4 linked regions of the Saccharomyces cerevisiae S288C genome follow. Changing the gene in region 3 together with the main gene of any one other region gives a genetic interaction. Each region holds a gene or a part of one and is shown on either strand. Other genes may lie near its edges. The genes, in order: GMC1, YFL051C, YIL165C and FRE7.

Region 1 (8,595 bases), on a different chromosome or scaffold from region 3:
TTTGATATAATTTCAGCTCTTTTTGTTGTTTATCATAATACTTAGAATCAATAGACAGATTATTCGGGATGGCACACAACCAAATTCTTGTCTTGTAATATTTGAACAGCTCTTTTATCAAGTCTCTAAAATCATTTCTCTCCTCACAAACGTAGTAAAACGTTAATTTCTTTCTATCAAATTGGAATTCTGCGTTTAAAATCTTGATATTCAATTTAGGCTTTGAATAAGTTGCAGCATTCGTAAAATTATTGGAAGAACTGTCATTTGTATTTTGAGATTTTGAATTATCATTTAACGCTTGTAATTTACTCTGAGCAATATGCAAGGCTTTTAATTCATCTTCAAATTTATTGTGCAAATTCGTTGTTACCTCCCACGGGGTGGCAAAACGTAAGACTTGTTTAGATGGTATGATTAACTCAGTTAATTCAACAACATCATACAATTTGGGATTTAATTTTTTCTTTTGCCCATTTTTTGAGTCAATCAACATTTGAATAAACTCATCATTGCGATAGTGCTGTGACTCACTTGTAATTAAAGAGTCAAAGTGAATTTTCTTTTTCAGAAAATTTATAAATAATGCTAAATTCAAATCGACAGAGGGCTCAACAACCAATACTAAATCCCTTCCACGGTCACCATCAATAATAACCAAGTCACCTCTCTTTAACAACAAATTGGTAGCTTGTGGAGTAGATAGTAGTTCAAGTTTCCCATTTTTCAAAGCAACCAGTACCAATGGTGTATAAGGTAAAAAGGAGTTATTAGCATTCCTGCATGATAGTTCTGTTGTGAAAGAGCCCTTCCTCCTATTTTTATTGCCTCCATTATTGGAAACAATTCCATTATTCGACTCTGGATCATTAACGTAATTCATGTTGCAACTTCTTAAAATGTCCAAGAAATTTAATAAAGATTGGTATGTATTACCTTCTTCATCGATTAAGCCCATGTTCTTCGCGTCGTAACTTTCATTAGAATCGTGCAACTTCAGCATTTTCTTAATATTATCTGTGAATTCAAAAACTGCAGAGCTAGCAAAATAGCCGCTGCCACAGTCGCTGTATAAATCGTGTAAGGTTTTGGACGAAGTCAAGTGTTTACCCTGAATTAAAACTAAACCATTGTCCAAAGATACATTTCCTTCATTGCTGTTCTCGTTCTGAAGGTTATGTGAGTTTGTAGAAGAAGGGACAGAACTGCTTCTTTGAAGTTGAACAAGCTGAACATCATCAACACGTTCGCCATTGAAAGAAGTAGGTACATTAACGTTTCTTGGTTGTTGTGGTTGTTGTGGTTGTTGCTGTTGTTGTTGAAAAGTAGGAAGGGATGGATTGAAGCTCGCTACCGGTTGTGTATTCCGGCGAAACTGTTGCATTGGAACCATATTGTGACTGTTGTTGTTGTTATTACTATTGCTGATACTGGCATTATTAGGCTCGTTATCATAAGGATACGGAGGTTGTACACCATTTCCAAACTCGGGCACACCTTTGGCGGTCAAATGGGTTGAGTTCAAGTTGTCATAGTTGAATCTGCTATTGAAAAGATTGAAACCTTGAGCGTGTTGCTGCTGCACTTGGGATGTTTGCTTTTGCCGAGCGTCAGGCATTTGATGGTTGATTAGAGTATCTGATATGTAGGAGGATCTCCTAATGGTAGACTCTGGATGAGATGGCTGTTGCCAATTAAATGATGGTACTTGTTGGTTGTTCATACTAGATGGGTTGCCAGCACTGTGTGATGGGGCAGCAAAATTGCTGCCGCTATTGGAAGTAAAACCTATGTTTGTTTTATTCATTAAACGCATGTAGTCTGAATCCATCCGATTCCCCATTAGGTCGTTTCCATTTGAATGAAATGAATTTCCATTAAATTGCGGGAACGACCGTTGTTGAGCTTGATAATTACCCATTTGAGTAGAGTTTAAATTATTGTTATTGGATGAAATGGGCGGTGCGGACATCGGCTCTGAATTAGACGAAGACATTTGAAAAGAGGTCAAATTACTGGAAGGGTGTTCTTGAATGAACCCGTTCTGGTGAGAAAACGGTTGCTGTTGTTGATTTGGCACTGGTGGCAAATACGGAAACCTACCCATAAAATCAATATCGTCAAAAGTCCTCCTGTTTTCCATACCATTTCCCGCACTTTTTATTGAGTTTCTCAAATTATTCAGGCCAGCAAGCGGATCAACCGTATCACTTCCTGAATTATTGGAGTTATCATTCAGTTTACGGGGTAAATCGGATAGCGATTTTCCGCTGTTATTCTTGAAAAGCAAGTCCTCATAGTAGTTCTTTAAATCCACATTGTCGGAAATGCTTGTTGTGCTATTAACAGTTGGGAGGTCCATTTTGCAACTGTATTTCTATTGAGCACTGTATCAGACACCGCTTTTTTTGATTTATCCTTCGTTTTTTTCTCTATAATTCTCTTGAGCCTTTCAATACACTTTATTCTTTTCTATATACGCTGTTTACTATATCAAAGAACACTCGAACTGATGCTATCTCTGTTTCTAACTGCCGAACCAATGAAAAATACAGCTCTTAATTATCAGTGAATCCTTCTTCTTATCCTTTATTTATTTTTGTTTTGTTCCTTTAGCTAAAACACGGATCCGTAATGTTATCCAACACGATTAGGGGAAGGATTCGTCTCCAAAAAACCGTTATGACCCAATCCTATATGACCTACGGCAGTCAGAGAAATACAGGTTTTCGCACTCGGAGGCGATTGTCGCCAATGGAAAGCTAGCCGATACTTTTTCCGTCAGCTTTGCGGGTTTTCTTTTTTGCGGCCTTGTAAACGGCTGTGGGAAAAGCGAAAAAAAGCAATGAGTTGGGAGAAATGGATGTGATTACATGAGCAACCAGTAGAAGATAGCATCAACCGCACACATGATTAGGATGTAGACGGCTATTACCTTGGACTTATTTTGTTCAAGTGCGGCTGTATGGACAACAGTGTTAGGGTCAGGTTCCTTGGTAGGGTACGATAATACAGCTGTAGTTGCTTGTTTGGTACTGTCCTCGGTTGTTGTCGGAACCTCAAAGACAATGCCAAGCCCCTTCATCATGTGCCACTCCACATGACAATGTAAAAGCCATTTTCCGGGCATCTCGGTGTTAATTCTCAAAACCGCGTAAGAATTTCCTGCAATGTTAATGCTATCCCTTACCATCGGTGCCTTTCCGGTTCGGGCCAGGTGACGTAAATCGTTCTGATAGCGGCTCCATGCCTTGCCCTCTTGTACGTCTTTGTGAAATGGGCCATCACCTTTATTGCCAAGAGATATTATCTGGAAGTGATGGCCATGCATATGCCATGGGTGTCTCATGTGGTCCAGTGAGTTGATTACAATATCATATGTTTCGTTGAATCCGAACCTTACCGGGTCTTTTACGTACTCGCTGAATGTCCGTTCGTTCACCTTATACATCCCAGTCCCATACTTTTGTTTCGTGCTTTCATCTTTGTAATAAGCATAATCGAATTCGAAAACTGCAACAGGATCAGCCTTTGTGCGTAACTTTTTATTCTCTTCTTGCGTTGGTTCTATGTCGCGATAAAGCTCGGCCTTAGTGAAACCAGGCAAGTGTTCGATGGAAACGTCATTGGGGTTCTTTGGTAGGTCCAAATGAGCGCCTTCTTTGTAAAACCACCACTGTTTTGTTATATAACCCATCATTTTGTTACAGCCATTAATCATACGAATAAAACTAGTGTCAGACTTTAGTTTGACCAAAATTGTATATCTTTGTCCGACCGCTAAATTTATCGTTTGTACAATGAACGGTTTAATCATAATCCCGTCGGCTTCTAGAACAATTAATTGGAATCCATCAAGGTGAAAGACTTGAGTACCAGACATTCCTGAGTTTACGATTCTCAAAAGAAGATACTCGGTGTTAAATCCTATTTTGATAGTTTCACCGTCAGATGATTTTCCATTTATTAATGATCCATCAAATTTGGGATCTGTACCCCCGGTAGATGACAAAACCTTGTCGTTTAAAATGTCCAAATTCCAATTGGTATACCAATCACTCAAAGTGATAATCCTTTCTTGAACTTCATAATCCGTCAATTCCTTCGTGTGTTTATCTTTTTTCATTGTAACAACACCGTCATCTAGTGTCTCTATGTCTCTCACAGAATTAATAGTATTTGCCACATGATTATCATAATCATCGCATTCAACTATCAGAACACCTCTCATACCGTCACCGTATTGTACTGATGAATGCGAATGGTACCAAAAAGTACCACAGGTTGATTGATCAATGGTAAAATTATACCAATAACTTTCTCCATATCCAATAGTGGGCTGTGTTAAACCTGGAATTCCATCAAATTCATTTGCTAAAGGTACCACCCCATGAAAATGTAAAGCTGTTGAACAGTAATCCTTCCAAACATCACTGTCTTTACTAGCTTCTTCTTCTGAACATATCCAGTTAGTCAATTTCAAGTTAAGAGTGTCACCGGATTTAACTCGAATTTCTGGGCCAAATGTAGCGCTGTAGCCATTTATGGAGATAACTCTTCTCTTATCAAGCGTGTATTCACTGCTCGCATTGAATTCTAAGACATGTATTTTGCCTTCCTTAGCGGCCATAATAAATTTTAATAGTATTAAGAGTAGCATTGGCAACTGAACCGGCTTAAGGAGAATGACCTTCATTCTAAACAAGTTGTCCACGGAGTTTTGCAATAATTACTTAATAACTTTGTTTAACCGCCCAGTATGTGCCACTTTATTAGCTTTGGCCTTAATGTGGACAGCTGAGATGAAGGTGGATCCTCTATGACTATCCCCGAAAAAAATGTAAACTAAAAAATATTGGTTGCTAAGAGATTCGAACTCTTGCATCTTACGATACCTGAGTATTCCCACAGTTCACTGCGGTCAAGATTTTTTCTTGAATCAGGCGCCTTAGACCGCTCGGCCAAACAACCACTTATTTGTTGAAATTTTTGTATCATATGTTTGTATATATCATATCCCATTTTTTAAGAGAGTAACTTCTTGTCGGCCTCATTGTTCATAATTTGTAGCCAAGTTGTAGTGATAAATAATAATTTAGGCAGATATTCTTATATGCTTGAGTGGAACTTCTAGCATATTCAGTATACTTGATATTAAAGCCTTTAACAACAATTAATGTTCGGAAAATTAAACTGTTACATAATTTATGTTTAGCTCTTACTTTAATCCCAAAGAGGGCAAATAGCTTTTAAATCTTCAACTACTATAACTATAACTACTTTTCTTTCATATATAGTTAGAAAAACAAACGGTTATACAAATAGTAATCAACACGATATTTTAAGGGTAAATATAATAGTACATAGAGTCCAGTACCTCCATTAGATTGTTATTTAAAGTATTAATACGGAGGGGAAAAAATAAGCAAAAATAATATGAGCGAAATATTATGGCAGAACAAAACGAAGGAGACAAAACATGATTGCATTACATTAGCACTATTTTTGTAGAACGCCTTCCTTATTCAGGACGTTCTCAACTTCATTGACCAACTTTTTGACAGCTTTGAATGAACCAGAAACTTTCTTGAACTGCACAACGCTCATCTTACCTCTCGGATAAATATTAACCTCAAAGAGTGTTGAACGTAGTGAGAATATATTATCACTCGATAGTTTACCCGTTAAGGTCAGATTGTTGGGGTGCGATTTTATATTTTTTAAACCATACTGAGTCCAACCACGCAACAGCTTCTCTAAACCATTAAACAATTGTTTTGCAGAAATCTTGGCATACAATTCCATTGTTTTGTCCGAAGATTTTGAGAATTTTCTAAAGAAGGAACCATTTCCAATTGCTGTATTTTTATCCTGCTTATGCTCTTTTAAGTGATCTTTTGAATGATCCTTTGCCTGCGAGCCAGCATTTTTTTCCCTAATTTTTTGCACAGATTTGTTCAATGGTGGCTCCATATCATCTACTACTTTCTCTCTTTTTTCTTGATCCTCTTCTTGTTTGTGTTGTTCTGGCTTTTTCTCTTCCTTTTCCTCATTTTCTTCTTCCTTTTCAGTATGTGAAGAAGAGCCTGATTCTGGTATCATCGATTTAATCTTTGGATGTGCCTGGTCACCCTCTTGGCTATTCTGTTTACGCAATTCATTGTCACCATTAAGCGGAGGAAGGATCGGAAGATGTAAGTTATCAGTTTGTTTCGCTTCGTTCGATCCATTAAAACGATCTGCAAAGTTCAGCTTTAACGCGGATTTGTCTTTGATAGTGGAATCACCGACATCGTACAATCTCTCATCGTTCGAACTATTTCCTGTATATTCAGCTTCTTCGTTGACAGTTTCAAAAAGAAATTCTGAATCATCCGCACTTCTTGGTGTTGGAATTCTTTGGCTTTGTTGGTTATTGACATCAAGGTTACCGTTTTTCAAAATATCAACCAAGTTGGTAAACGACTCCTTGGTAGAGTACATCGACAGGACAGATAGCCTTTTATTGGACTCACTAAAATGCCTTGATTTTCTAGTAAATTGTGGTACTCTAATTTCAGAGATCTTCCTCAACCTACCATCAGAGACGGGAGCAGTTGTTGCGGTACTATCCTTTAATTGAGATACGCCATTCCCATCCTTCGGGAGGATCAAAGATTCATATCCATCATTAGAATCTGACACCACTCGCTCCTCTGACAATCTTTGTGGTGCAATTATACTTGGATATTCCATTTTAGACAATTTCAACTCTTTATCGATATTAAATGATGAACCCAAGAATTTTGATCTTCTGATAGTTTCTAAAATTTTCTTTTCTGTTGTAAGTCTTTCATTTTCTGTTCTCTTTGGTTCCACTGGACTTACTTCCTCAGTTGGACTGGAGAACATTATACCCGGATCAAGCCTTGACACAGGTCTAGTTTGTAAAGAAAAGTTGCGGCGACGGAGAATATTGTCAATATCAACCTCCAAATGATTGATATTTTTCTCTTCATTTTCCATAGGAGCAGAGATAGATCTAATATTACCATCCAGTTTTTCCTCTTTGTGTTTGGACAGCTCTTGCTCTAGATCACTTATATCAATTTCAATTTGCTTCTTGAGTTCCTCCTGTTTTCTTTTCAGATCTTCCTTTTCTAGTAATTTTCTTGCACGTTCTTTTTCTTCTTGTTTACGTCTTCTACGTTCCAGCTCTTCACGTGCTTTTGCTTCTCTCACTTTACGTTCTAGCTCTTCCTTCTCTTTCCTTATTTGTTCGTACTTTTCGTACTCAAAAATTTCATCTATCAAAGTTGCAAAATTTGAGCTCGTTCTCTTTGTTTCCTTCTCAATGTATTCCCAATCGTCATCCTCTGCCAATTTCGCATATGTTGACATTAATTTTGTTGTCACCGATTCACGTTTCATGCTTGGTATCAATGACATTCTCTTGATAGATCTAGAAGATCTTTTGTTCTTCTTGGTAGTAGAAAAGATAGAGGCTCTTTTTTGATTCTTTTCCACATTTATAACCGAAGCTCTTTTATTACGTGATGCTGGTGTTGGAGAAGATTGGTTAACGATTGTAGATAATTTCTTCTTTGAAGAGAAGTTTTTTGAAAGGCGTTTTGAAGAACCGGGTGTAGTTAGATTGCTGGAGGAGGCACTGGAGGCAGTGAATTTGTTGAAGGATATTGGCTTTTTACGAGAAGATGTTACACTAATTAAAGATTCTCTATTTCTTCTGCGTTGTGGAGTTGTCGATACTTTTTTAGATGGGGAAACAGAAACGCTACTAATTGACTGCCTCTTCTTAACTTGCTGTTGCTTAATAAGCTCTTTTTGAGTGTCACACTTAAATCTATACAGTAGTGCATATAATGTCTTTTCTGCATTAGCGCCAGGTTCTCTTAGTTTTTCCTTAATTCCTTCAGGATCTCTTCCATGCCATAATATTACTAAATTTTGCAAAATCGTAGCGTCAATAGAAGAATTACTTTCTGATAATGGCGTGAGATATGTGTCTTCTCTTGGTAAGCCTCTAATACTTTTAGAATCTCTTATACTTGGATATTTTTGTAATAGCGGATGTTTGAGTATATCTCTGGTCTTGATTCTTCTTTCAGGATCAACGGTTAAGATTTTTCTAATCAAATCCTGAGCTTCACGCGAAATTTCATCATCAGAAGGCATTTCGAACTCACCTTTTTGAACTTTAAGTAATAGTGTTCTTATATTTCCATCTTCCTCGTCAAAGGGTAACCGACCAGTAAGAAGGGCGAATAGGATCACACCGCATGACCACACATCACTTGCGAAACCTTGATACGGTATACCAGATACAATTTCTGGTGCAGCATAATGTGGTGATCCGCACGACGTCTCCAGTAGCTTTCCTTCAGTTTCCAAAGCAGCCATACCAAAATCTGCAATCTTGATGTTATATTTATGATCTAATAATAGATTTTCCGGTTTTAGATCACGATGGACAATACCCAACGCATGACAGTACGACACACCAATAATAATTTGTCTAAAAAACCTGATAGCTTCATGCTCTGGCAGAGGACCTCTCTCAACCAATAAGTTGAACAACTCACCTTTCTCCGCGTA
Region 2 (7,243 bases), on a different chromosome or scaffold from region 3:
ATTACAATGACGAGAGCAAGTAATCCGGCGGCCTTGTCTCTCTTTCACTAGTACCGTCTATATCTCTTGAGCGCCAATATGCGAAAGCTTTCACAAGGTTGATGTTCATGGTATTCGGCGTCGATAGCGAATTGCTTACTAAGAAACATTAGGGTGCAGTACAGCCTTGTTTTTCCAGTTCGACTAACCTTTTTCTTGGCAGTATGGAGACTGACTAGGTCTCCCAAACATTCATTGTAACTGCTGTTTAAAGATTTTGTTCTAACCTAAATTCAAGTGAGAAGCTGAACATGTGTCTCTACTTATGATATCACGACAGCAAATACTAATCTTGCCATAAATAGTCTAGCGTTTTGCAACTTACCTCTAGATATATTTTATTTCTTGAGGAACCGTTTTCGTCGGTAATAACAAAATACTACTGAAACGCCACAGCATTGAGAGAATACGTTATCGATTACGGCTTTCTTCTCGCTCCAGATGTCGCGGGTAAGATATTCACCTCAAACTTTTCTTGTTGAGTGTCGTCACAAATCTAGAACCTACATGCCATCTCAACGATTTTTCTGGAGAAAGGCCTCACTCCGTTCCGTACGTAATGCATAGATAAAGTATCAGGATCTTCACGATGCTCGAGAGTTACTTAGTAGTCTGAGTTTATGCGAAAAAAACTCCGCCGTTGTAATAATCGGGAATACACAGAAGTAGTACTGCACTATCACTGGGATACTCAAAAACCTTCTTTTTAACTTTTCTATCCCACAAATAGAACATAGGAAAGAACATTGACTCCTCCACTTGAAGTTAAATTACAGGAACAAACGCCTAACTATAATTTCGACATTGTTGCATCAACGAATCGACCGAAAGAAAAATCTGGAGTTGCAGTTATCACTTGTATGTGCACTAAGATTTATATTTTTACTCCTGAGATCTGCCAAATCGGTAGCTTATTGAACTGCGTTCCTTTTTCCCCTGAGTTCTCGAGGTACCTGCGGCTTTGTCTGTGCCATCTCCCCCACTTTAAAGTACCCCACGTTACTACCGCGTTTTTCCCCACCCCCGGCTTAATAAATTAGCTATATCTTGTTGACTTAAATACGGAGAAAAGAAGAAAACCTTCAAGAAATGCTTCATTGTCTTGTCAAAAGAGCTAAAGTAAAAGAGCTCTAGTTCGAAGATGGCCCGCAATAGACAAGCGTGCGACTGTTGTTGCATTCGTCGAGTAAAGTGTGATCGTAAAAAACCATGTAAATGTTGTCTTCAACACAATCTGCAATGTACATATCTTCGACCTTTGAAGAAAAGAGGTCCAAAACCCGTCAAGGTGAGAAATTTAAAGAAAGTAGATGATGTACAGGTATTTAGTAAAAGTAGTAGTGGTGGCATAATGAAGGTTCCAAAGGCACTAATTGATCAGTGTCTGCGGCTCTATAATGATAAGTTGTATGTGATCTGGCCTTTGCTGTGTTATGATGATCTTTACGAACTTTTAGAGAAAAGATATGACGAAACCTGTGTGTATTGGTTCCTGGTATCTCTTTCTGCCGCCACGCTTAGCGATTTGCAGACTGAAATTGAGTCGGAAGGAGGGGTTACCTTTACTGGGATACAGTTATCCAGTTTCTGCATGTCATCACGCCAAGAATTTGACGATTTTAACGGTAGTGATATATTCAAGATTATGACGTACTATTGTCTAAACCGCTGCTACGCACAGATGTCCAACTCAAGAACTTCGTATCGGCTTTCTTGTGAAGCCGTGGGGCTCATTAAGTTGGCGGGGTTCCATCGCGAGGAAACTTTGAAACTTCTTCCTTTCGATGAGCAGCAGCTTGGAAGGAAAGTTTATTATTTGCTTCTCTTAACGGAAAGATACTTTTCTGTGTATACGCATTGCGCCACGAGCCTGGATACCACGATTGCTCCACCACAACCGGAGAACGTAACGGACCCCCGACTATCTCTCGACAGCTTCTTGGAGATGATTAGGGTATTTACTGTACCGGGAAAATGCTTCTTTGATGCTCTAGCTACCGACTCTGCTAATGTAACCTGTACTGAAGACTCCCTTAAAAAGATATGGAGGGAACTTCATACGGTGCCACTTGAGATAGAACCATGGTCTTACGGCTATGTAGACATATCTTTTTCACGGCATTGGATTAGAACACTTGCTTGGAAGCTAGTGCTTCAAATAAGCGGTATGCGAATCAGTTTCCTTTCAAATAGCAAGAATACGCATATTCCAGTAGAAATTGCTAGAGACATGTTAGAAGACACATTTTTAATCCCAAAAAATCTTTATGCAGTTCACGGTCCAGGGATATCAGTGAAAGCACTAGAAATAGCCGACGCATTGGTAGATGTTGTGAATCAGTACGATCAAAATGCAGAGTCGGAGGCTTGGAATTTTTTGTTCGATATATCCAAATTTGTCTTCTCTCTTAAGCATTGTGATAGCACATTAGTTGATAAGTTTACGACAAAGTGTCAGTGTGCGCTTATCACGCTTCCTCTTTCTAATCCGCTTGAATCGACAGATGGTTCTAAAGAAGATGTAGATGCGCTTCCTTAAGTAAACACATTGCTACTTGCATTTTACCTTTCAAGATGTAGTGATTACGGACAGTTGAAGAGGCTAATAGCATCTATTTCTTCTTTAGTATATGGTTCCTGCAGGGCAAACAATTATTTCCTTTGCAATTTTGCGGCAGTGGGGAAGAATGATAGCACTAATAGTGAACTTGTGGACAATTATGCTATTATAGCAAGAAAAAAAATTTATTTTTTTTTCAAGGGGGGTGATTGTGATGTGAATTAAATCAAGGATATACGCTTTTATCGTCATGATAGTCGTGCGATTTGTACTTGGTTATAGATGAAATGAGTTAGTTTTTAATAATTGTGATCACAATATAGCTGTACTTATCAGGCCATTAAAGTTTCCTGTAAGGTGCACGAGAAGTCATGGTCATAAAATTATCAGAATCTCCAAGGAGAGGTTCAACGGCGTCGGTTGCCCATACTCCATATTAAGTACCCTGTCATTTCCACAGTTACATTAGTTGGAGTAGTATAGAAACCAAAAAGATCAGAACTCCAATAGGCAGTATTTGGGTCACAGTATTCAGTGTCACGTTTTTTAGTTTCATAAAGAGGTCCGCAAGGATCATATCCATCCTCATCACGCTTCAAAACTGCATAAGTCACACAGGTAGGAGTGCTCTCACAAGGCGGACTATAGTATATGGAGAGATTGGTCTGTCCGCTAACGGAACCTAACTTCTTTGTATTGGAGTATTCATAGCCCATATATTCAGGCTCCAAGTATGTGGTTTGGTCGCCTATTGTGTACTCATAAAAATTAATATTCATACCATCTTCCCTTTTGTTTGTTGGTAAGCAAGCTTCTGTACTGGCTAAGGTTGTAGTAGCTAGCGCCACGAAGACCAAGAGTGCCGAAAATACGGAATGGGGTATAGACATTTGAAGGTGTGGAGGGATGCTGGTATCCTCCAATTGTTACATTAAGATTATCATCTGGCTATCATGAAATGAAGGTTACCTTTATATAAGAAAGACTTTTAAAAAAATGTTTTGTTTTCTGCTTTAGGGAAGTAGATATCGTTCCTGCATTTTGATATCAAAATAATCTCCGGTAGGCATCAATTGCAGTTAAAGCTCTTTCTGGCAAAAACCCCGATACCCATGTAGGTACGCTCTTTTCACCAGGTCTTAATAATTTGATGGGCACCGTTTATCCCAGGCAAGCCAAAAATTAGAAACAAAAAACAACTCACGTACGTTAAAAAACCTGATAGTGCTTCGTACTACATAGAACCCTGCGCTGTTATCTGCTAATCGAGCACTACTAAATTCCCTCCAAAGGAAGTAGAGTATAGATTCTATGCACCGATGTGAAAATAGTAAACCTACGATAACCTTTTTTTTTTTACTAACCGAATTGAGCAGATATTGTTACCTGTTACGGTCATAAAAGTTAAACGATTTTGCTTTATTTCTGTCCCTGGCTGAAAATAGTAAAGAAGAGGGAAGGCAAGTTCAAGGGCAGCTTAATAAGTCATACGAAAACGTTCTCGAACTTTTTTTCTGCAAGCTTTTCAGAACCACGATGGAAAAAAGAAATTTTTACAACACTAATGCCAAGTAAGGTTTTTCGGATTTAGGGTGGCGTCCTGAAAAAAAAAGAAACGTCTCAGAACGTTTCGGAGAAAAAAAAATAAGGTGTCAAATTTCTTAGTGTTTTGACGGGTGATGCCCTTCCAGATAAATCTCGTGGAGATTGGCTAGCGTCAAACGTCACCGATCTCTATTTCTTTTTTAGGTTATTAAATTTCGATTACATCGCGTGTTCTTAGATAAGTTACCAAGGGTGCTCAAAGGAAAATTATATTTCTTTTTTTCTTTTGAGTAATTGCAGGTGAAGAGATACAGAGCAAGGAACGTGATGTAATGCATTTTTTTTTTTGTTCCTTGGAACCACATGATTTACTCAACAAATTAATCTAGTTTGTGCTTCAAGCATGCACCATTGTGAATATTTTTTTAGTTTCAAGGTGACAGGTTATGAAGATATGGTGCAAAAGACAAATGTATGGTGGCAGGCATAGTAAAATGATGGTGTGGAAGACATAGATTGTATTTGTTTTGCATTATCCAAGTGCTCGAGATTGGTTCTAAAAAACAAGAAAATAAAGGGCAAGAAGAAAACCAGTTACTTCTACATTGAGAGGCCAGCCAGGTTGCCGCACACGTGTTGGTGCACGTTAAGTTTTGGGCTCACAGTGGTAAATCATAGAAAAAGCAGTTGCTTAATTTCCCTCTTTTTCATATTCTCTACGCTAGCACTGTAAGGAAAAACGCAGAAAGCAACATACAACGTTTGTTAGGATGTTCGTACTTCACAATAAGCAGACAATAACCATTTCAAGTGTAAAAAAAATTTTTTTTCTGTTAGTTTGATGCAGAAGACTTATACTTTTAACTTTTTTGGTTAACTTACACAAACCAAGCGCACAACGCCTGCGCTTTTTAGTATTAGATGGCATGATTTGAAAAGCATAAAAGTCTGGATATTGGAATTTAGGGAGGCGGCGGGATAGAGCGATAGTTTCTCCCCATATAAAGTCTACAAAATGTGTGGGTTTTTGATATCGATCGAAATTTCACAAGGTGTTCTATAATGACTAACATTTTTGTGAGCAGTTGACTCTCCTTAGTGCACATTGTGGAATATGTATGCCATGTCTCTTAAAGGGGTAAAAAGAGGTATTCTGCATACTACCAGTGGGGTTTATAGCATCGTTTAATCTTGTTATCCTGTTTCGGTTTCGGCAATTTCTTTCAAAATTCTGTTTTCAATGTTATCTGGGAAAGAAATGTTTCGAAAAATAATACGTAAATTGTTCCGACAAAAGAGTTCTTGTCTATGATTATTCAAAATGCTGACTTTTTATTTAGCGCTTATTGGAGTCTTTGCTGTCTGTAGAAATCTGACCAGGCATACAAATTATAGTTATTTACTAACGCAAGAAGTTTATTGTGGTTTTCATGTGTATGTGGCCACGTAGATTTATTTTGTAAATAAGTATCGCGACAGCTTCTATTTTCTTGGTTTAATACGCCTGTACTAATTTCCATTTTTGAGTTTAGGCGGTGCTTTCGTAAAAATGATATGATTATTCCGCTCATAAATGGTAGTCATGGTAAGGAAGATAAAAAAAGCGCAGTTCCACTGTCAGGCTTCGTTTATTTAACAATATAGATACATCATAAAAGTTTTTGGTAATGTTCTCTGGTTTTACTTCGTACTTCTGATCAGAAGTCTGTTATATCATGGTTCGGTACCAATTTTTTTTATACACCATTGTGATGATGTTAAAACTAAACGTATAAATTGGTCAATTATGTTGCTAGTAATGCAGCTCAAGCAAATTTATTTTATTGGCCTACATAAAGAAAACTAACTCTACAACTTTTACGGTATAAATATGCAATGTGATTTAAAAAATCACTGAAGTGTGTCAGAATATGAGAAACTTTAAGTGAAGCGTCATATTTTTGTGCCCTCATATCAAAAAAATGCTTTAAAAGCAGTCAACCAATGTGCCAAAAATTTTCAAAATTCAGGAACTTGTTGTTCGGCAGACTTTTATTCTGCCTGCTAAAGATCTGCCGACCTACCATAGCGGTCATGTTAATTGTAACGGCTATATCTACTGGGTAGACTGACAGTTGATTTCCTTCGAACGCCAACTCTCGCATTGCCATTTTTAGAATCATCGTTAAATCTTTTATCTCTTTTCGGTAAAAAACTAGATATGACTGATTTGGCCCCACTACCTGCGGCTTCGTTGAGCGTTGCAGGTGGGTCTATTTTTTTGATCCAATAGCTAGCTAAAAACCAGCTTATGACAGCTAGTAAAAGCAGTACCCCCAAAATTCCATACCACCACGCAATACTTCCATTTCTTCCTGGAACTTTTACATTCATACCGAACAGACCAGTAATAACATTTAATGGAACTAACATTGTACCTAACATAGTAACTTTACCCAACATTTCTGTAACTTTATTATTAGAGTTAAATGATTCCACTTGTAATTGGGCCAGGTAGTTTGCATGTGATCTAGAAAAAATCTTTTCGTACGCCAATAAATTTTGAAACATCGTCAACAAATGATCCTGAATATCACCTAAGTATAAAGCAATATCTCCCCTTGGTTGTGATGTTGTTTGCATATAGCTATTTGATAAGCTTATTTGGTTATTACTATTATTCTGGTTCACATTCTCTTGTTCCGCTTGTAAGTTCACCATGTTAGTTTGAGATTTAAGCACTGGCCCAATACCATTAGTTTCATCTTGACATCTTTTGGCGAACATTTTGATAACATCTGCTTTACCGCTCAAGAGTCTCATCAGCGTCATTGTCTTACGCCTACTTTCACCAATCCTTTGTAACATGGCTGCAAAATCCATATCACGGGTCATAAACACTGAATCATCAATCGAATCAGCTTCATACTCGATGGATTGAATAACCGGAGCAAAACTATCTGTGATATCATCGATTAAAGCATAACATAACCAATCTGAATTGACACTGACATAGTCACGTAATTGTCTTACACGTCTTCTTACATTGGCACAGTGTGATATTGGGTCAAAATGAAAAGTCAAGACACCTGACCTAAAAACAACGATGTAAACATTTAT
Region 3 (7,028 bases):
GTATATTGATATTACTAATATGTAGAAGAAAGAATTAACTAGTATAATTCGGAGAGTAGTAAAGAAAATTTTATTTACATATGAATGTAGAAATTAATTCTACGATTCACGCGGAATATTGTGAAATCTTGAGATAAGAAAGTTGCAAGAGATCACAAATGAAGGTTATCTGCAAACAGCATAAACAGATGACACCTTATGAATGTAAGGTAACATCGGTAGCTTAGCGCGTTGACCTGTGAGCTCCTACATAGAATATTTGTGTGCTTGGGGATTATTTGAGAAGCATTAGGCTGGTTCAGAGGAATATTTACAATTGGTCATTGTATTTTGATATCAATTACCGAAGATTTTGGTGTTATTATGTTCAAAAACTTTTTTTTGTTTCCGTGAACACACAATTGCTGTCACCTGCTTTTGTGGTATAGCAGTGCAAAACTACTAAAAAGCAATAACATCCCATGACCTTTACCTTAAAAACTCGAAAAAAAAAAGTTTTTGCATTAACCTTTTGTTGCTCTGGTGTAATAATTTTTTTTGATGTATGACTTCTCGCTTTTGCGTGTAGCATTACTCTAACAGCAAAAATTTTAATACACGAAAACTTAATCTAGTGAATAAACCTATAATCAAGACGCTTCATTCCCTTATCTTTAGTTGTGTCCAAGTAATTGATCTGCTCTTCTTTTGTCATAGAGTTCCATTTGCGGTCCTTGTATTTATTCCTACTAATATAGTAAAACTTAGTAGCAACAGCCATACAAATGTTGAAGCAAGTGAATCCTAGAAGTATTTTGTTACCTCTAGTATAGTAAGGTTTATCATCATTTCTATACATGTTAGAAGCAATGATTGCTCCAACTTGGGCACTCATATTGTATAACGCTGTGCCCACTGTACGCGATCTTACCGAATTTGAAATCTCGGAGACCCAACCAGCAAGAATGGAATGTGTATAGGGAAGACCAAGTATACCGGTTAGTAATATATACTTGATCCAGGGGTTTGTGTCAGTCGGTAAAGCGACCAGAGAAACTATGAAAGGGAGCACCCAAACGTTGGCAATTCCCACACAAAGTGATTTTTCTTTCAATTTACGCGATAATAGTGCCGCTAATGGTAAATTTATTAGCAGCAGGGCTTGGCCTGGAATTGCTAAAATGTTCGAAAGAAATGTAGAGTAATTTAAACTCTTTAATATCAAAGATAAATAGGAACCAACTGTTTGAAGAGATATGAATGCTGTAATACCTTGGATAAACAATGGCCATAGATCAAATTCTGTTAGAGTGTACAAAATCTCCTTGAAGGTAACTGGTTGTCGGTTACTCATGTCACCCTTTGATGGGTCATCCCTTAAAATTCTGTTAACCATAATTTTCTCCTCATACTCAGTGAATAACGATTTTCCTTTGTGAAATGCAGACTCACCAGTTTGCGTAGGTCCTCTACGCATTAAATAAAAGGATGCCACGCCAACAGAAAGGGACAGAAACCCTTCAATTATAAATAGGTACTGCCAGCCAGCTAAGTTATGAATACCCCTCATCTCTATGATTCCGGAAGCTAAAAGAGAGCCTAAAATTTGGAAAAGAGGTATAGCACACCAAAAGAAACTTAGGCGGAATGTGAGCTCAGCTCCAGTATAATAATATGACAAGTATAGAATATTGTCCGGGATGAACCCGCCCTGTACCATTCCTAATAAGCATCTAGTAGCAATAAATTGACCTCGATTTTTCAGACCAGCTTGAGTAATACAAATTACACTCCACAACACAATTTGAACCGGAATGACCCTTTCTGGACCAAATCTTTTGGACAGCAGATTGCCGGGTAGTTCACTTGCTAGAAATATAACTAGATAAACAGTTTGGCCAAGGTTGTAGTCGTTCGTGTTCATTTTCAAGTCAACAATGAAGTTGTCTGAAACTGCCCTTGCAATATTTTTCCTTATTAAATCCAAAAAGGCAAACATAATAAAAACCCACAAAAAAATCTTCAAGTCCATTTTTCTTACCAATTTCTTTTCCTCATCCTTTGTCCATGTAAACTCAGGATCGAATTTAGACAAGCCTTCATAACCACTGGATTCATAGACTTTTCTCCAACGCTCTGCTTTATGAAAATCGTCAAATGGGTTATGTGAAATACTCTCCGAATCTGATGTTAAGCTTTCTGCGGACACAGATAATTGGGCCTTTTCTACAATATCGTATTCTTCTTTTTGTACGGACATAGATGAAACTTTGTTTGTTGATTGAATTTTTTATTAATTGTTTGTACAATAAATAATTTCAATAATCAACAATTGAACGCTGCCTTTTTATACTAAATGATTCAGTAGAAGACGAACCTAGCGCAGGGAATACGTCATGTATTTGATAGTAAGCGCCAAACCTATTAGGCAATAAAGTGTGACAAATTGGTAGCATTGATAGTTATTCCCAATTGACCCATAGGCTGTTGAAATGAAACCATCAGTATATGTTGAAACCTCAAGTGAGGCGTCAACCTCTAAGTGAGGCTTCAAGCTTCGCCAACTATTATATATGCCACATGACTGCAGGGTCCTTATTTTAAGGAGCTAGCTGCAACGACTTTGTGCTGTAAAGGGGTGCAGCAGCAAATGTAGCCTATTTGCTCGAGGTTTTTCTTTCTTACGAGAATGCTAGCAATTCAAGATAGTACGTTGTAATATGATGCATTTCGGCACAATTATCCGAGAAACGGACTATTTCGGGATTATATCGATCCGAAATTCTCTGCGTCGAGCCGAATGCCAAGGAAAAAAGTTCAGAGAATGACTACAAACAGCCTTGGCGACGGCAAAAGTAAGCTTGGTAAGAATGGCTTGATCCACACGGTGATTCTTGTATCGGGTCAATGCATAATTTTGATTGTGAAAGGCGCAATTATTAAGGCTGCATTCTTTAGCTTGTCTTGACTCCTACCCGTCATCGTACAATCTCCACATTAAAAAATATCACGACATTTATAAATCTTCTTCACACCGGATTAAACAAAAAAACTGTGTTAATCGGATCCGGGAGAAAATGCTAATATCTCCTTCTTGTTTGTGAAATGATGATAACTGGGCTGTTGAACGAAAATGAAACTTCTCAAATACACCTATTTATTAATAAATGTTAATTTATATTTTAAAAAAAGGTAAAAATTAAATGATCAGGTTTGCGATCCTGATTTCAAAATCATGGCTTGGATTATATCTTAGAGACGTATGGATTTCAAACAAATGCCTATTTGATTGAATATTACAGATCTACATTATCTCTTGTACATAAAACATTATATAACAGACATATTGATATTAACGAATATTTTCGAGCCACCATTCATGAAAGCCTAGTTAATGGATTTATGCGGTATTCATTTCGTAAACTTGACATCGTGTGACCTTTCATTGACAGTCAACTGGAAGACATCTCCCCTAGCATAATGTCCGACAGGGTCAAGATCAAAGCGAGCTTCAGCAATCAAGTCAGTGTTAATTTCGGCGGTTAAAAGGCCCTCCTGCCCTAGCAATGGCCCTGCAATAATCTCTCCATAAGGATCAATAATAACACTACCTCCATTAATACAGTTGTCGTCAGCAGATGGCCATCCAGGTAATTTTCTCTTACCTGTAGCTTGGTCAATAATCTCCCCAAAGCCCATTGCTGTCGCATCTGGCATGAACTGCACTGCACTAATCAAGAATAGACGACCTTCGTATGCAATATTTTTCATCACAGTCCTCTAAATAGGCCTAGCATCCACCGTTGGGGCACACCAGATCTCAACCCCTTTTTTATACATGGCGTATCTCAGTAGAGGCATCATGTTCTCCCAGCAGATAGCACCGCCAATCTTCCCAGCAGCGGTATCCACGACAGGCAGAGTCGAACCATCGCCTTGACCCCATATCAGTCTTTCGCCAGCTGTCGGCATCAGTTTTCGATGCTTCCCAACGTAGCCATCTTTAGGATCTATATAAACCATGGTACAATATAATGTCGTCCCATCGCGCTCTATACACCCCACACATAAGGATGCGTCGGTGGCCTTCGATAGTGCGCACAACTGACTAATTTCTGGATATTTCTCTCCGTTTCCGATCTCAATTGCTTCGGCAAGATACTTAGCATACTCCTCCCTTCCTTCTTGAAGACGGTAGCCTAGATAAACCCCAAAGTTCGATCCCTTTGGATAACCACCAAGAGTGGCTTCTGGGATAACGACCAACTTGGCACCAGATTCCTTGATCTCCTTCTCATATGACAAAATTTTTTTCAAGGTATCCTTAGTAGAGCCCGGACAAGAGCCGATTTGAAGGGCAGCAACAATGTGTTTCGCCATTGTGGTTAACTAGAGGTAGCCTCGAAAAGTGATTGGCTAACCCTAAGTCATAATATCACCCTTTCTTATTGAAGAGCTTTTATTATTTATATACACTGCCCTTTATGAGTCACGGAGGCCTGGGCTCCATTTTTTTTACGAAGCAAAAAAGATAGCTCATATTTCGTAAGCATTAGGCCAACTTTACTGATAACCGTTTTCAAATCGCGGTGGGATTAATATAATGTGGCGTTCATAGTGAAATGTGGCTCCAAAGTATAAGCGTAAATGCGTTTGCTTATCGAACCGCAAGTAACTTGTAATTTCACCTCTATAATTTCGAGCGGTTTTTAAGATACACCATGTTTCAAGTAACCACCTTTCGCCTTTTTCCTCTGTTATCGAACTTCCATCTGTAAAAAGTTCGCTTGCAGAAGAAAAAAGGCACTACACGGAAGAGGACTGATAATTAATGAAAATCAAGCTATGATCAAACAACTACTGGCTCTAATATATGGTTTCGGCTACATAATCTAATTGTCATATCTGTTATCTCGACACTCGTCTCTCGATAAACGAGTTCTTCACTGTTGCTAGGTGCAGTGGTCGGCCATAGTTATCCATACAAAATTCCAATTTCTTACGCGCATAGCAGTCGATACATGCAAACATCTCGACTATTCTGGCGATAGCAGTACCAACAATCACCAGCACAAATTTTGTCACCTGTGCTTTGCTAGAGTTACTTCAGTACTAATTAGATTATAATATTTTGCAGCATTTATTGGTATAGAAAGAAAAGCTCGAGCACTACCAACTTTTATCTGATATACCGAAAAATGCATAAATATCTTCTCTAGTTTGTGCGTTTTCTTGTCGCCCTACCTCACAAAAGAGAAGTACTGATGGCTAATAATTGTTGGATCGATTCATTGTATCTCTTAAATGTCAACAGAGCATAAGTCAGACTCTTTGCCATTTTTAAAAAGCTGCGAAGGCGAACGTGACTACGGGGTGCGGGTTTTTGTATTGCTAATGTAGCATGACAGCTTATCCAATGTTTTGTTGTGTTCATTCAAACTATTTTGAGCCTCACTTCAATTTTGTTTGACTACTAACATGGCAGCATGCGTCGTTTCTAGGTGCTAGCCAGGCTGTGAGAACGTAAAATTAGCCTATGTTCAACATTCTCTGCTTTTCAATGTCACTGTTCATTTTGTTACTATGAAAGTAGTTCGTCGCAATTTGTACTTTTCTTCGAAAGTCTTCTTTTGCAGTAGATGAAGTGTGTTCTGAGAAATTGATGCTTTCAAATGGCCTTAAAAAATTTTTGTATCATAGCTAACAACATACTGTTGCGCCAGGGGAAGTGAAATCATGGTTGTATATTACAATAGCATTATGTGCATTTACCAAGTATGGAAAAGCGGAAAGTGTGAAAGAAGTTTATGAAAAAAGCGGAAAATAAAAAAAAAAAGTTTATTTTCCTGTGACTTCTGGGAAGCAGTTAGACCTCCTTCGCTGTATTCTTAGGTGCTATACCTCATTTCCACGATGGTAATAGACGATCAGTCTATTAATGCGCTAAAGAACGTAGAAAAGTTATTAACTGAAGAAGCTTTGCTAATGCCGTCGCACATTAAACGGCTAGACATTGCCTTGAATAGGAAGCCGAATAATCTACGAAATATCATGGAGCTTCAGGGCCTTGCATATACTATAGTAAAAAAAAAACTAAGTTTTCCCCTGTAGTAAACAGGGAGATACCGTACGGAGGTCTGAATTCCCTACAGAAGTAGCTGTAAAAATTCAGAATTCGCAACAACCTATAATTGAGTTAAGTGCCTTTCCAAGCTAAAAAGTTTGAGGTTATAGGGGCTTAGCATCCACACGTCACAATCTCGGGTATCGAGTATAGTATGTAGAATTACGGCAGGAGGTTTCCCAATGAACAAAGGACAGGGGCACGGTGAGCTGTCGAAGGTATCCATTTTATCATGTTTCGTTTGTACAAGCACGACATACTAAGACATTTACCGTATGGGAGTTGTTGTCCTAGCGTAGTTCTCGCTCCCCCAGCAAAGCTCAAAAAAGTACGTCATTTAGAATAGTTTGTGAGCAAATTACCAGTCGGTATGCTACGTTAGAAAGGCCCACAGTATTCTTCTACCAAAGGCGTGCCTTTGTTGAACTCGATCCATTATGAGGGCTTCCATTATTCCCCGCATTTTTATTACTCTGAACAGGAATAAAAAGAAAAAACCCAGTTTAGGAAATTATCCGGGGGCGAAGAAATACGCGTAGCGTTAATCGACCCCACGTCCAGGGTTTTTCCATGGAGGTTTCTGGAAAAACTGACGAGGAATGTGATTATAAATCCCTTTATGTGATGTCTAAGACTTTTAAGGTACGCCCGATGTTTGCCTATTACCATCATAGAGACGTTTCTTTTCGAGGAATGCTTAAACGACTTTGTTTGACAAAAATGTTGCCTAAGGGCTCTATAGTAAACCATTTGGAAGAAAGATTTGACGACTTTTTTTTTTTGGATTTCGATCCTATAATCCTTCCTCCTGAAAAGAAACATATAAATAGATATGTATTATTCTTCAAAACATTCTCTTGTTCTTGTGCTTTTTTTTTACCATATATCTTACTTTTTTTTTTCTCTCAGAGAAACAAGCAAAACA
Region 4 (8,773 bases), on a different chromosome or scaffold from region 3:
TCGCTGGCATTTAAAAATGAAGAGGTTAATGATATGAAATAGGGTGTGAATATGGTGTATGTATTATACTGGATATGTTCTGTTATTGGTGAGAAACCCCAGAAGTGGCACACCGAGAGCATGGATATATTTGGAAGAAACAAGCTGCAGAACAAGTAATGTTGCAGGAAGTGCAAAAGAGGGCGAGAAAAGCTGATAATGTTTATATTGTCAACTTTCTCACTGAGGTTTTCATCCTTACAAAAACACTCTTCTAGCGGTTTTAATCACGTTACCGTTTATTTCGGCTGCTCATTCTTATCTGGTCCGAGGAAATGATTATCAAACAAGGATGGAAATTTTGTACTTTTGTTCGTTTGCCCGCCCTTTACCCTCAAGGCTGTAAGATGGTTAGCCAAGAAATGCGTTGTATTGTCTTCTAGATGAACAAAAGAATTAAAGTGCATAACTATTACATATTTACCCGCTAATAATCAAATATTTACATGGTTTTGCCGAAATGCTTGAATGATATTTCACATGGTGGATGCCATCTGTTTCCTACTAGTAGCCAAAACTCTCGCTGTGTAAATAGCACTCTTCGACATTTTTGTTAGAAAAAACCTTGGCCTGTAAACCTGCCACGGAATTTCCGACGGTATACCTTAGGCTGTCAGAACCTGAACAAATGAAGCAGTTCCTGAACCCAATTTGGTAATCATTAATGACCTGATTCAAATCAGGTTTGGAAGGAATAATGGTGATGAGACCTTTATATTCGTTATTGGATTTGTCGAAAGTTGAATTTGACTCAGTATCATCCTGGCCGAATTCGGTATCTTTTTCTCTTTTAGCTAAATCAGATTGGTCACTGGCGGTGTCTATTGTTTGAGGGAAAGTTTTAATAATACCAGGGACGGTACTGTCCGAGCAGACGTAAATTCTAACCACAATTTTCCCATCTAAAAATAACTGGCGCAAATTATTTGAGAGGGTACACATTTCATCTCTAATCCATGATATATCCTCCCTATGTCTTACCACCCAGTCCAATGTAATAACTTCTAAGTTTGTCTTATGGAGTATGGGGCCATATTTTTGCAGGAAAGGTAAGCATGTAGATATACCTGAACCAGAGCAAATCAAGTAGACATTGGTAAAACTTCTAATATCTCTCTCGATTCCACCATAAGGCCCATCAATAAGAATTTTCTTCATGTCGTCATTACTTTCGTATAGCCTTTTAGAAAACCCTTTCTGGGCTCTAATCAGCATTTTTATTCCTCCGGGATACTTTGCACTCGGAAAGATAGAAAATGGATGGTTGGAAATGATGCCCTTATCAATAGTTCTCACGAATATGTGTTGACCTGGGGAATAGGCCATTTCCACATCTTTGACGATCAATTCTACGCATCCTTCGCCGACTATGCTGACATTTGCAATGGTCGAGGCCATGAAACTTCTACCAGGTCTTAAATAACCCTTCACAGCTAGTCTGTAAAACAGTTGTGCAAACCAAACCACAATTGTAGCAACCAGATACATATGGGAATTCAATTCGGGATATACATGATAGAACAAACTAATGTAAAATCCAACAGCTAAAATCCAATGAAGTTGCAAAAAAATCTCATAAAAATGTCTTCTAGCAATAGGCAGCGAAGATAACCATAGCAGATTCAAAAATAAGATGGGTGGGACACCACTCCTCCACATGTCGGATGCCTTCCACCGTTGATGCATTCTTTCATATCCTCCCTCATGTCGTGCTTGACGTAGGAAGGGAATGACATGAACCCAGCTAAAGAATAAACAAAGAATGGATGCCCATTGGTGGTATATGTTGATTTTTTCATACGAAAGCCCAACCAACCAACCTATAACGTTGATCTTCCCGGAAAGTGAGAATACAAACGGAACCAAAGATATTGCCATTATGCCTGCACGAACAGACAAAGGCGGCGAACCAAATCCTGCACAAGGTCTGTAGAATGGATGAGGAACAAAGCAGTATAGAAGTGTGTATAAAGTGGTAGCCATTACTACTAAAAAAGTACCCACAGATGTCGGAATACCTAAATAAGAAAATATCAACGTGGGAAATTTCCTGTAGCAAATGTATCTGTTGAATGCGACAAGTTTCGTCATTATTCGAGCAAGGAATACAGAAGGGGTAGTCGGCGAGTTCTTCTTTTCTGGAAGAAATTCCTCACTGGAATCATAATACATAAATGCCAGCTTTTTTATCAAAGACAAAAAAATTATCACAGCGACAAAGTAAGTGACGAATTTTCCGTATTGTTTTTGGTACACCCATGGTGTCGCTGCCTGCGATTCTTTTTTTAACCTGGCGTATAGTTCGGAGTGGATGTCAGCAATACAATGGATACCATTGCTTAAAACCAAATCTCTTTCTTCAATCATTTTATTATTTATCGATGTATATAAATAAACTTTGAAATAAAAATTTGAAATATCCCTTTACTTGCAATAAAAAACTTTTAGTATTGGTAATAAAGGCATGGTTTATATGATCTTGAGAACAAACGAGTGCATAATGAAGAAGTACTTCAGAGATTTTAAGAAGTGAATTTGCGCAAATGCTCACGTATTAATGCGCAGTTATACATCCTGCTTAACTAAGAAATATGCGCGGTACATCCAGATGCGAGCACTATAATTTGACACTTTTCCAAATATAATAAGCTTGGCAAACGGGCATTTCGGCTGCGTTACTTGAAACGTATATCGACTTTTTCAATTTGCGCAGACGAGGATTTTCAACCGCATTTTCTGAAAATAGTGAGCACATAGTATGACAGAAGGAGGTTATTTCAAACATGTCTTGTTTAATGGCGGTCACTTATATGTGGAAAAAATATCCTCCTTGTTCATTGGCCATCCAAATACAGGCGTATGCTCTTGTAATAACATACTGTAGTTGCCTAATAAACTTGAGGGATCTTCTATTGGTCAGAGATGTTCAGTAAGTCGTGGCGTATAGATCCCCTTTGCAGTTTAAGATACTTTCGTATTATCTGTTATCTTCATTTTGTGTCTAAAACCATTAATAAATGACCAGGAAATGCGCTACTGTCACTATAGGTATTTCAGGATGTCATTGGCTGTATCCAGATAAATTCAGAGAATATCAATCACTCCCTATGTTGGCGTTCTTGTAAAGTAAGAGTCACAAAATAGGATGCTATCAAAATAAAAACTTCAAAAGATGATGCATGGATGTACAGACATAGTCAGAAACCATAATGTAGTTTTATCATAGTTCAATTGGTCAAACACTGCTGCGGCTGTCATTACGCTGGTGGCATGATGAAACTTTTGTTATGAACAACTCTCCAGGTCCTTGTTGTCTCTGTATTTGGCACTGAGAGCGCGTCCACTTGAGGTAAGACACTGGAGCAAAAGAGTATAGTATTCTATAGAACAAATAAATGGGTGATGGGCTGATGTTACTTATAGAAAACTCAATTTCGTTATTATATGGATAATTACCGTGGGAATATATGGGCAGTCTCAGGCATTTTTAGCCGGGGAGTATTCCTCTAGGCATCCCTCTGCTATCCTGTGATTGTGGAAAAGCGTTTTTCAAAGACATATATTGAAGTCTACATAGCATTAAGTGAGCAGCGTTAATCGTTTGCAATGTTCTCATATACATGTCATTATTATTTGTAGTGGCATCTTTGGTTGTAAATATCCCAGCGTTGTGCAGGAATATTCAAACGACATTTTCCTGAAGTTGTATAGACCAACTCAAAATAACTATAGCTGCTTTAATATATTTTAGCAGGTTAACTCAAACATCTGCAAAGTAGCATAAACTATCACGTTGAAGATAGCATAGATAAGAAGTTCATACTTTCGTCGTTACTGTTCAAGAGACAATTGATTAGTATTGCACCTAAATATGTGGTACGGTAAGACCTGGGGTGTTAGTGAATGCATAACCGTCAGTCCATCTGCAAATAGCAGTAAGGATTGGCTTTAAGAAATTCGTTGGTTCCTATTAACGTGGCGTAAAACAATGATATAGTATGGGGGAAGTTGATTGACACGACATGATTGCATTAGGCACGTACCCGATTCTTTGAAAATTATGTCCTTTAATAAGTCGGATCTATATATAAGATTATCAGATGACTATTTTCTGCGGCTGCAACTTTGAGTTCGGTAAAATTAATCACTTGATTACTAAATAGCATGTATATAACATGGTCGAAAATTTGACTCAGGGTCGGTGAAATAAAAGTCAATGAGAGCATTTAGAATAAATTAACATTATGGTAAAGCGGACTTTTCTCTCTGTTCTTTTTCTTAATCTTGCATATGCACTACAGGTCGGGCTTTAAATGAGGGTGCTCTAAAGCCTTGGTCGAAGGAGTGCATATTTCGGATTCTTTTTCATTTCATGGTCTCTGGAGAAAAATCCTCGACAATATATATTTTCTAAGGGGTGCTTAAAAAGGGGAACATAGAAGATATACAAGCAACTACATTAAAACCCTATTCTTAATTATGTATTCGTAGTAGTATACCATAACGGCTTATACTCTGTCATTCCTCCCATATACTAAAACGCTTATATGACAGAGACTCATCACGCTCCGCTTCCGGATGTGTATCCTTCTTCTAAGCAGCCAACCTCCTCTACCTATTCTAAGTGTAAAAAATTTGGTCTGCCATTAATTGGTTTATTGACGTTGCTCTTAGCTTATATCAGCAGCTTTACCAAACCCGTCCCAAATTCCACTTTTGACGTTCCTGCCTCTCCACAATGTAAAAAGCCTCAAGTATATCGTCCATCGTTTAACAAGTCTGTGAATTTGATTCTGAACGATAAGCAATTCAAAATAGACTCAATAAGAAAGTTGTCTGGTGCCATTCAAATTCCTACAGAAATTAGTGACACAAACCCGCTTCCAAACGATGACCCAGAGTACTATTCAGAATTCTTCAAACTTCACAAATATTTCTAAGAGACTTTTCCTCTTGTTCACTCTCATCTAAAGGTGGAAAAAGTCAACCAATTGGGTCTATTATATACATGGGAAGGTACAGATCCGAGTTTGAAACCAATATTATTTATGGCACATCAAGATGTGGTGCCAGTTAACAGGGAAATATGGGATTCTTGGCAGTATCCACCATTGTCGGGTCACTATGATCAAGAAACGGACTATGTTTGGGGTCGCGGCTCCAATGATTGTAAGAACTTAATGCTCGCTGAGTTAGAGGGTATAGAACAACTGCTTGCCGATGGTTATCAGACTGAAAGGACCGTTATATTATCTCTGGGCTTTGATGAGGAGTCAAGCGGTTTTATGGGCGCTAAAGTCTTGGCACCATTTCTGTTGGAAAGGTATGGCCCGGATAGCATGTTTTCCATTATTGATGAAGGTGCTGGACTCCTAAGACTGGATAAAAACCTTTACATTGCAGCTGCTGTAAATGCTGAGAAGGGTTACGTTGACGTAAGGATTAGTATCCATGGTCATGGTGGTCATTCATCCGTACAACCTGACCATACTACCATTGGTGTTGCATCAGAATTGATATATATGATGGAAAATCACCCATTCGATTATAATTTCTCACTTGATAACCCCATTTATGATGTATTACAATGTGCTGCCGAGCATTCAGGTTTTCTGCCACCACATGTCAGGGAGGCAATCTTAAAAGCACCTGTGGATGAAGGGAAAAGGAAGGTTTTGACGGAATTTGCTGCATCGCACCCTGACATTCGTGACCTAATAAGAACAACTAGAGCAGTCGATGTCATTAATGGCGGTGTCAAGGCTAATGCATTGCCAGGATTGACCAGCTTTATTGTTAACCATAGAGTGGATATTCATTCATCTGTGAACGAAACTGTGTAAAATGATTTGTATTGGGCCAGAGTTATTGCTGAAAAGCACGGGTATGGTTTGACATTCCATGACGAGATTATCATCCCGGAAACAAAACTTGGCCACATTTCTTTAGCAAGTGAAAAAATGTTAGAACCAGCACCAGTATCGCCAACTTCAGGACATGTCTGGGAGATTTTTGCAGGTACTGTTCAAAACTTGTTTCAAAACGAAATTTTGGCTGAGCAGAAAGATGCAGATGTCTACGTTACGGGTGGCTTGTTTTCTGGTAATACCGATACCAAGTATTACTGGGGATTAAGCAAAAACATCTATAGATTTGTTGCAGGTATCTTTCCATTTGACCAACTAAGGACAATACATTCTGTTAATGAACATATTTCAGCATCTTCACACGTTTCAGCAGTAGCATTTGTCTATGAATATATTGTGAATGTCAACGAGTATGGCCATGATTAATGGGCGAATTTTTTTATATAATGGTAGACCAGTGTATATGTTGAACGCGTCTTGGCCAAACGGTCTATTGATATTAAAACTCCTATAACGTTTCAGTCAAAGTCTAGTATTTTTGAAATTAGAACTTTACTCAACGGCCAACAATTGCAAAGAATATTAATAATTTAACATACCGAAGAAGGGAAATGTAGGTAAAATGGGATACTTATTATGGAAAAACTTGTTCTTTTCTTGTCATATCTATATTGAAGATTATGCTGTAGTATTACGCGTCTGGAATTACGGTTTAATAGATATAGTATATCAGTTTGTTCGTACCGAAATGTGTGAGAGTTCCTGCCCTCTTTTTATTTTAAAATGGTTACTCTGTGCCAATGATGCCCGTTCATATTAATTTGAGACCATTGCTAATAGAATATTATCTTTATTTCATAATAGTGTTTGGCGACACTAACATGGGTAATTATAATAATCTTTTCTATAAGTGACCAATTGAAATATTGTTCACTGACTGACAAATCTAAAATTTTTTGCCCTGTTCACCAATATTTTATGTGTCTTTCTTTCGCATATTAACAGAAAATCACTGAAGTATATTTTAGCGTAATCCTGTCTTTTTGCCCATGAAGGTCCTATTAGTTTTTTATGTTGAAGGTCTCTTTATTATTTATTCTATCTGAACATATGAGTATTCCTAATTTGCGCATTATACCCGAAATCTATTACCACAGATTCTGTTCAGCCGCACTGGCATTACAACTTTTTCTGGTGTTCTATCAGTTGCATTGGCCTATTAAAGGGTTATGTTATTCTCAAGTTTTTTAATAAAACCAAGACGATCATTGATTTCTTTACTATTTATTGCCATGAAATTCAAAAGAGGAAATGTAGGTGCGTAGGCGAAAAACTTGGTAGAAGAAAACGTTCGGTAAGAATAAATTATCATTAATTTAATTGATAAAAGACATATTTATGTTTCATTTTGTAGTTAATCCTTTTTTTGTTCTTTTCAGGAACACAGTTCCTTCATTATATATGATGAATTCTATAATTTTGCGCGGATTTTGAAAAGTTCGATGCGCAATATAGGCCTCTAAATATAAATATAATAATAACACAATTATGATAAACTTGTCATTAAATTGTTTCAGACTATTGTAAAATTGAGAAGAAGAATGCTATTGTTTGATTCATTACTCGACACGTATACAATGCACTGAGATACTTATATTGTGCTCAATTTTTTGCAGTTTACGAAAAATAATGAGCAGTACATTCTCGTCAAAGTTTGCAATCATATAAAAAATACCATCTAATTCAATGAAAAAGAATAGCTCCAATTTATTTTAAAAACATAAACGAACTAATATTTACGGTATAGAAAACATATTCTGTGGAAGTAATGATGTGGTTATTACAAGTTACCTAGACAGCCACCAGGTATAACAGAAGCACTGTAAACGTCAGCGAGATAGTAAAGATAGTTGTCGGTGTTTCTAACTGCGTAAGTAGCATTGTTCTGGGTGTAGTCCACAACTTCTTCAAGAGTTTCCGCGTACTCGCCAACATATCCATCCATACTCATGGTAGGGACGTGCAAGTAACGATGTAACATATCAATACCTGCATAATGTTTTGGACCGACATCGACAATAGTACCTTCGAAACAAATTGTTGATAGTGGCTTTTTGGAAGTGTAGAAGTAATCACAAATAACAGTTTCAGCTGGAGCAGATTGACGGTGATGACCAGCGTAATAGTTTGGATTAGCTGCACACAAGCCATCAATATCATCACATCTCATGAGCATGGCACCCTTGGAAGCCTCCATCAATTGCTCAAAGACACCCATGACGGTGAAAATACTACCATTACCAAACCATCTTTTGTAGTAAACGTCATCGACACCATAGTTCAAAAGTCTATCTTTACCATAAGCGGTGATTTCAGCGGTATCCTTAAAAGCTGCATTCAACATTCTTGCGTTCGTCTCATTACAGGTTTGGTAAATGGTAGGAAAAGTTGCGTGACTCCAACCCAGAATTTCTTGAGATGAAGGAGATTGTAACTCAGCAGTAGAGTTGGTGTCGTAAGTGACAGGAGCACTCAAAGCTAGAGAAGCAATAGTTGCAAAGATGATAGATTTGCCGGAAGAGAACTTCATAATGTTTAGTAGTTGTGTGTGGATTTGGTTTTCTATCTTAATTGCTCAATCCCAATTCCTAGATGGGTTGTTCTCCCCCAATGACAGTAATTTTGTCTTGTTTTTATACGTTTCTAATTGATATATTGAAGGACCAGAATGTAGCTCTATTTGAAAGCATGTGCGGCGTCTATAGATCTCTTGTAGAGGGTTCAAGCCACGGAAAAGAACAGTACTTCAACAGATTCGTGATCTGGAAAAGAAAGTATAATTTCTTTTTCCTCCAAAGAGGTTACAT

The links.
Region 1: mutations in YIL165C (region 3) and GMC1 together harm fitness more than expected from each alone (negative genetic interaction), as found in Saccharomyces cerevisiae (one large-scale study listed by BioGRID).
Region 2: mutations in YIL165C (region 3) and YFL051C together harm fitness more than expected from each alone (negative genetic interaction), as found in Saccharomyces cerevisiae (one large-scale study listed by BioGRID).
Region 4: mutations in YIL165C (region 3) and FRE7 together harm fitness more than expected from each alone (negative genetic interaction), as found in Saccharomyces cerevisiae (one large-scale study listed by BioGRID).

Annotation. Positions count from the first base shown.
Region 1 is NC_001136.10:1,456,859-1,465,453, forward strand, and holds GMC1 (putative oxidoreductase), read right to left. Parts: upstream 4,697-8,595; coding exon 2,870-4,696; downstream 1-2,869. Other genes in the region: PSP1 (Psp1p), read right to left, coding at 1-2,362; protein kinase GIN4, read right to left, coding at 5,500-8,595. UniProt on the Saccharomyces cerevisiae protein: Could be an iron transport multicopper oxidase, which is required for Fe(2+) high affinity uptake. May be required to oxidize Fe(2+) and release it from the transporter. Essential component of copper-dependent iron transport.
Region 2 is NC_001138.5:27,052-34,294, forward strand, and holds YFL051C (uncharacterized protein), read right to left. Parts: upstream 3,490-7,243; coding exon 3,007-3,489; downstream 1-3,006. Other genes in the region: ZNF1 (DNA-binding domain containing protein), read left to right, coding at 1,181-2,578; putative Mg(2+) transporter ALR2, read right to left, coding at 6,221-7,243.
Region 3 is NC_001141.2:30,328-37,355, forward strand, and holds YIL165C (uncharacterized protein), read right to left. Parts: upstream 3,751-7,028; coding exon 3,391-3,750; downstream 1-3,390. Other genes in the region: SOA1 (Soa1p), read right to left, coding at 611-2,239; NIT1 (Nit1p), read right to left, coding at 3,760-4,359; YIL163C (uncharacterized protein), read right to left, coding at 6,572-6,925.
Region 4 is NC_001147.6:34,381-43,153, reverse strand, and holds FRE7 (putative ferric-chelate reductase), read right to left. Parts: upstream 2,407-8,773; coding exon 544-2,406; downstream 1-543. Other genes in the region: ZPS1 (Zps1p), read right to left, coding at 7,747-8,496. UniProt on the Saccharomyces cerevisiae protein: Cell surface metalloreductase. May be involved in copper homeostasis.